Linked DNA regions of Macaca mulatta. The main gene of each other region encodes a partner of the protein of the gene in region 2 in a complex. Links are inferred from orthologs where the notes say so. Each region holds a gene or a part of one and is shown on either strand. Other genes may lie near its edges.

The links. Proteins that work in one complex are often made in the same cells at the same time.
Region 1: the proteins of EIF2B4 (region 2) and EIF2S1 are in contact, whole or in part, in a cryo-EM structure (PDB 6O81), measured with the Homo sapiens proteins. The link is inferred for Macaca mulatta from reciprocal best matches to the Homo sapiens genes EIF2B4 and EIF2S1. Residues at the interface, in NP_001029288.1 of Homo sapiens: Asn245, Glu246, Glu247, Arg250, Thr285, Ser520, Ser521, Asp522; in NP_004085.1 of Homo sapiens: Met30, Tyr33, Met45, Arg55, Arg57, Arg75, Glu79, Lys80, Tyr82.

The regions. Positions count from the first base shown.
Region 1 is NC_133412.1:140,529,320-140,532,972, reverse strand, and holds part of EIF2S1 (eukaryotic translation initiation factor 2 subunit 1), read right to left. Parts: intron 3,475-3,653; exon of another isoform or gene 2,207-3,474; 5' UTR 2,206-2,206; coding exon 1,965-2,205; intron 1-1,964. UniProt on the Homo sapiens protein: Member of the eIF2 complex that functions in the early steps of protein synthesis by forming a ternary complex with GTP and initiator tRNA. This complex binds to a 40S ribosomal subunit, followed by mRNA binding to form a 43S pre-initiation complex (43S PIC).
Region 2 is NC_133418.1:97,615,882-97,619,170, forward strand, and holds the end of EIF2B4 (translation initiation factor eIF2B subunit delta), read left to right. Parts: coding exon 1-78; intron 79-227; coding exon 228-405; intron 406-2,101; coding exon 2,102-2,282; intron 2,283-2,399; coding exon 2,400-2,599; 3' UTR 2,600-2,647; downstream 2,648-3,289. UniProt on the Homo sapiens protein: Acts as a component of the translation initiation factor 2B (eIF2B) complex, which catalyzes the exchange of GDP for GTP on eukaryotic initiation factor 2 (eIF2) gamma subunit.

The DNA.
Region 1 (3,653 bases), on a different chromosome or scaffold from region 2:
TAGTAGAGATGGGGTTTCACCATGTTAGCCAGGATGGTCTCGATCTCCTGACCTTGTGATCCGCCCGTCTCAGCCTCCCAAAGTGCTGGGATTACAGGCTTGACCCACCATGCCCGGCCAACATATCCTTTCTTGTAAGTGTCGACTCACCTTCAAATTTTCAAGTTTGGCCTGCTTTTGGCTGCTTCTCATTGTCTTTAGGTAGTTATTTTTCATACTTGTTCAGGGTTTATGGCATTTACGTCGAAAGGCTTATCTAGCAGGACCTAATTCTCTAGTAAAATGAATTATCTCTACAGGCTGTTTTGCACTTTGCTCTTTTCCTCATCCTATCGTAGAGATCTTCCATATCAGAATACAGAATATTCAGATCTCATTCTGCATAAAATTGCATTGCATGCATTTGTACTGATTTATTTAACCAGTCCCCATTTTGGTCATTTCCTGGTTTTAGTTAATGCCATACAAACAAATGCTATGGAAATAGCTTTACATGTATCTACTGTATGTAAGCAAGTATGCCATTCCATATTTTTTCTGATTGCAACTAAAAACATATTTGATTCCTCCTTTTGTATATATTTCATACAATAGAAAAAGAAGGCTGAGCACAGTGGCTCACACCTGTAATCCCAGTACTTTGTGAGGCCAAGGCAGGAGGATCACTTGAGCCCAGTTCAAGACTAGCCTGGGCAACATAGTGAGACCCCATCTCTACAAAGAAAGTTAGCTGGGCAGGGTGGCACATGCATATAGTTCCAGCTACTTGGGAGGACTGCTTGAGGAACACTTGAACAGAGTTCAAGGCTGCAGCGACCTATGATCACACTACTACACTGCAGCCTGGGTGACAGAGCAAGATCCCAACTCTTAAAAAAAAAAAAAAAAAAAAAACCGAAGTACAAGATTAGACACTATTTTACGTACTACTAGGACAGTGATGTGAAGACTTACGTAAGTTTAACAAATAGTCTCAAAGTAGTTTAATAATTTTGGGTGGGGCTATAGCTAAGTCACAGCAAAACATTTAAAACAATCCATGTGCTAAGTAGCAGTCACTACCTAAGGCATAAGATAACCTCAAAATTTATGTATCATCTAAGGCTATAATAATAATAAAAAAAAAGTCAGTATGTATAAAATTAATCACTTGCAGAAGTGAGAAAGTATCAGTAAACTAGACAGCTAAGGAGATTCAGAAGGATAAGTTGAATCAAGGTGACTGATATGCAGCCCTTCAGACATGATAGTAACTAATGACCTAAAACTAACACCTAACAAATTAAAGTAAGATGGCTGAAATTAAAACCTACTTAATGGTATTGTATACCATGTTTTAAAAAACAGTATTCACAAAGGTGATGATTTACATGGGGTCCAGAAAAGGAATCCAATAAGTAAAAAATGGATAGTCATTCAAAACTGTCTGAAAGATACCACAGGATTTGGTAGACACAAACATTCTAATTACCAGCAAGATATACAATGTTAGATTTCAGGTGTGTATATACACACATAGTATATTGCTTCTTCAAGGCTTATATAAAAGATTCGTAAAACCCATCTGCCCCATTTTCATGCTTACCCAAAGATCTCATTACTACTTTAGCTTTAAATCAAGAAAAAAGGCATCCAACATATTCAGATCTACCAATGTAAATGAACTAGTACTCTCTTTAAGTTTAGTTACCATGATTCAATTACCAAAATCCTGATAAACACTAGAAATAAAATTCAAGTTATTTGATCCATAAAATCCTAGGATGTACTAATTAAACTACTATTAACTTAAGAGATCTTGTTTAAATAGCTAATTGACATGGTTTTCTAACCACTTTGTATGTAAGAGGTTTAAGTATAAAAAGAGCTTTTTTTCCCTAAGCTGCCGCATGCAATTTACAAAAAATGTATTTTTAAACCATTTTAAATCTGAAATTTATATTACAGATATTTTTCTCACTTACCTTTTTCTTTGTCCACCCTAATGACAACCACACACTCATTCCTGCCAATTCGGATGAGTTTGTTGATAGAACGGATACGCCTTCTGGATAATTCACTAAGAAGAATCATGCCTTCAATGTTGTTGTATTCCAGCAAGCTGACATAAGCCCCCATTTCAGCAATGGATCTGACATTCACCATCACTACATCTTCCACCTCAGGAAATTTGTGTTGATAAAATCTACAACTTAGACCCGGCATTCTGCAATTTAAACAAAAGAATTAAATAAGTGTTCAGTTAAGATGAAAAAAAAAAAATCAATTTCCACATCTTGCCACTGAAAGAAAAGATGAAGAAAAAAATAGTTATTAGTCTTAGTCTTCTCATCCTTTGAAACTTAAGTGGTACCAGAAAACAGATAATGTTCAGGAACCAAGCTTTAATTTTTACTTTGCTCAACATTTTTGTAATGCTTGGGTGATTCTCTGCCATTAGTTTCAGAGGAATCATAAAAAATAATGACCATCTATAAAGTACTCCAAGACCTAAGGATTAAAGGAATACCTCAAGAGTAAAATACTACTTTAAGGCATATCAAATGATGGGAAGCATCACTATTATAACTAATCAGAAAACTAAAGCTACTCTTCGCTGAAGTTAGCAAACATTGTATATGCTACCACTCACTATATAAAGGAAAGATTTTCTACCTAAATCTTAACCAATATACCATATGATATATTGTCATTTATTATAGCCCAAATTAGCGTCACATGTCAAAGCAACAAAAACTAAAAAAATCTTAATCACAAAATAAACTAAAATTCATCCTCCTCCTCTCATAATTTTTTTTCCTTGAATTCACAATGTCTAGCTTCTCTTATCCCCAATACTCCCAAATATTCCTTTCTTTTATTGAATAGGTATACTTAATCTTGAGAATAGCTTTAATCTCCATTACTACAAAGTTAAAGTTTCTCTTAACCTCCAAGCATTAAAGATATTTACAATTATTCCCTTTGATCCACCCAACCTACTTTCAGCACTACTCCTTCTATGATCCACAAGCCTGAAATCATAATCTGGGTAGAAGCACATTTAAAAAGGAAGCTCTCAAACTAATCATGGCTGATGATTTCCATGTTTTTCTGTTAACCTTCACTGTTGTCACTGCTCAAAACTTAAGTAGTAACATAACTTAAAGGCCTAAGAAAACTTTGTGAAAATTAATTTAATAACTTATTAATTGGCACCTGCCTATATCTTCCCAGTGGCTTGCTACTGACTTATATATGTTTTCACTACCTACAGAATCCTATATGATCTGGTCACTGCCTATCTCCTTGTGGTACAACTTTCTCCCTAGTTCTCCCCATTTTCTAGATTAAAAAAGTGAAGCACAGGTTAAGTTACTTGTTCTTTCACATACTGCTAACAAGTGATGAGTCAGGATTTGAATCCAGGAAGTTTGGATCCAGAGTCTGTCCTCTTTTTTTTTTTTGAGACAGAGTCTGGCTCTGTCGCCCAGGCTGGAGTGCAGTGGCCTGATCTCAGCTCACTGAAAGCTCTGCCTCTCGAGTTTATGCCATTCTCTTGCCTCAGCCTCTGGAGTAGCTGGGACTACAGGCGCCCGCCACCACGCCCGGCTAGTTTTTTGTATTTTTAGCAGAGATGGGGTTTCGCCGTGTTAGCCAGGATGGTCTCGACC
Region 2 (3,289 bases):
TGTGCTTGCAGCTCAGGCAATTTCACGCTTTGCTTACCAGAAGATCAGTAATGGAGATGTGATCCTGGTATATGGATGGTATGGTCCAGACCCTGTGACTGAGCAAACTGGGGAGTTGGAATGATCTGAAGAAGGGACTACCCATTTGCCTTTGGGAATAAGTTGGGAATAAGTTAGTCATCAGTTACTGACATTTATAACTGAATCCTCCTCTTCATTCCCTCTAGCTCATCTCTGGTATCACGAATTCTTCAGGAGGCTTGGACAGAGGGCCGGCGATTTCGGGTGGTAGTGGTGGACAGCCGGCCACGGCTGGAAGGAAGGCACACGCTACATTCTCTAGTCCGTGCTGGTGTCCCAGCCTCCTACCTGCTGATTCCTGCAGCCTCCTATGTGCTCCCAGAGGTGAGTACAGAGGAAAAGGACTCCAAAGTTGGAGGTAAAAAAGTGTAGTAGTATAGATGTAATCTCACCTTCTCAAAGTTAGTTTTGTTTTTGTTTTGAGATAAGGATGGAGTGCAGTGGCGTGATCACAGCTCACTGCAGTCTTGACCTCCTGGGCTCAGGTGATCTTCCCACCTGCGCCTCTGAGTAGCTGGGACTACTGGTGTGCACCACCACGCCCAGCTAGTTTTTATTCTTCTTGTAGGGATGGGATATTGCTATGTTGCCCAGGCTGGAACTCCTGGGCTCAAGCAATTCCCCTGTCTCGGCCTCCCAAAGTACTGGGATTATAGGCATGAGCCACTGTGCCCAGCCACAATTATTTAAAAGTATTAGAATTATATAGTCCTGGCTTGGCGCCATGGCTCACGCCTGCAATCTCAGCACTTTGGGGGTCCAACGCAGGAGGATCACTTGAGCCCAGGAGTTCAAGACCAGCCTGCTCAACATAATGAGACCCTGTCTCCACACACACATACACACACAAACATACAAAATTAGCTGGGCATGGTGCATGCGCATGTAGTTCCAGCTACTTAGGAGGCTGAGATGGGAGGATTGCTTGAGCCCGGGAACTGCAGTGAGCTGTGATTGCACCACTGCACTCCAGCCTGGGCGACAGAGTGAAACCCTGTGTCAAGACAAAAAATTACATAGCCCTGTTTATATTTAATTGGAAAAACACTGACAGTATGTTACAGCAGTCTAGCTATTGCAAAAACATTACATTAAACTAGCAACCAGGAAGAGGGAACAAGACAAAAGTAACTTCAAAGTTTAGTTTTCCTGTGGGAGATTTGATGGGTCAGTGGTCAGGTGTTTTCACAGAGGAAGAGCCATCATTAAGATGTTTTCACAGAAGAAAAGCCATGATTAAGATTTATTACTTGCCAGGCCCAGTGGGTCACGCCTGTAATCCTATCTCTTTGGGAGTCCGAGGCAGGCAAATCATCTGAGGCTGGGAGTTTGAGACCAGCCTGACCAACGTGGAGAAACCCCGTCTCTACTAAAAAAACAAAAAATCAGCTGGGAGTGTTGGTGTGTGCCTGTAATCCCAGCTACTGTGGAGGCTGAGGCAGGAGAATCACTTGAACCCAGGAGGCGGAGGTTGTGGTGAGCCGAGATCGTGCCACTGCACTCCAGCCTGGGCAACAAGAGTGAAACTTGGTCTCAAAAAACAAAAAGATTTATTACTTGTCTCTTTGTTTTTGTTTCCTTCCCTTCTTTTCACAGGTGTTGAGATTATTTATTTTTTTTTTTTGTGATGGCATCTTGCTCTGTCGCCCAGGCTGGAGTGCAGTGGCGCGATCTCGGCTCACTGCAAGCTCCGCCTCCCGGGTTTATGCCATTCTCCCACCTCAGCCTCCCGAGTAACTGGGACTACAGGCGCCTGCCACCTCGCCCAGCTAGTTTTTTGTATTTTTTTAGTAGAGACGGGGTTTCACCGTGTTAGCCAGGATGGTCTCGATCTCCTGACCTCGTGATCCACCGTCTCAGCCTCCCAAAGTGCTGGGATTACAGGCTTGAGCCACCACGCCCGGCCATGTTGAGATTTATTACTTGTCTTAATGTTGCTGTCCTGTAAGTAGGGGACTTTATTCTGCATTGATACAACAATGACATTTTTTCTCTTCCCCTTCTCCTGTGAAACAAACAGGTTTCCAAGGTGCTATTGGGAGCTCATGCACTCTTGGCCAACGGGTCTGTGATGTCACGGGTAGGGACAGCACAGTTAGCCCTGGTGGCTCGAGCCCATAATGTACCAGTGCTGGTTTGCTGTGAAACATACAAGTTCTGTGAGCGTGTGCAGACTGATGCCTTTGTCTCTAATGAGCTAGGTAAGTAGGGCAAAAGAGAAGCCTCCAGCTACCTGTGAAGACTTGAGAGTGAGAGAGGGGCAGATAAACTAGAAATTCTTTTCTAAAAGAACGTAATGGGTACACCTTCCATTGCAGATGACCCTGATGATCTGCAGTGTAAACGGGGAGAACATGTCGCACTGGCTAACTGGCAGAACCACGCGTCCCTACGGTTGTTGAATCTAGTCTATGATGTGACTCCCCCAGAGCTTGTGGATCTGGTGATCACAGAGCTGGGGATGATCCCTTGCAGTTCTGTACCTGTTGTTCTACGAGTCAAGAGCAGTGACCAGTGAGGGGGAAAACACAGGGTTAATAAATGCCATAGTCCCTACCTTCAGCAACTCTGCTGCCTTTGTTTCTCTTTTAGCATCTCCACCTCTTAAGTTAGGAGTCCAGACTCCACAACCCCTTTTATCACCTGCTACTAACCTCAGACCTTTGTGAAGACCTGCTCAGGTAACTAGCTCCATGCCAGTGCATTGGGGCTAACCTGAAGGTCCGTATAAAGAACCAAAACTACCCAAATCAATCATTCACTGAGCATCTACATGCCAGATAGTAAACTAGGTATGAGGAGGAATATGAGAACAAATAGTCCTGGGCTGGGTGCAGTGACTCATTCCTGTAATCTCAGCATTTTGGGAGGCTAAGGCAGGGGGATTGTTTGAACCCAGAGGTTTGAGACCAGCCTGGGCAACATAGCAATCCTGTCTCTGCAAAAAATAAAAATTAGCTGGGCATGGTTGTGCTCATCTGTTGTCCCAGCTACTCAGGAGGCTGAAGCAGGAGGATTGCTTGAGCCCAAGAGGTAGAGGCTGCAGTAAGCCATGATCGTACCACTGAACTCCAGCCTGGGTGACAGAGTGAGACCCTGTCTCAAAAGAGTCCTGGCCGGGCGCGGTGGCTCAAGCCTGTAATCCCAGCACTTTGGGAGGCCGAGACGGGCGGATCACGAGGTCAGGAGATCGAGACCATCCTGGCTA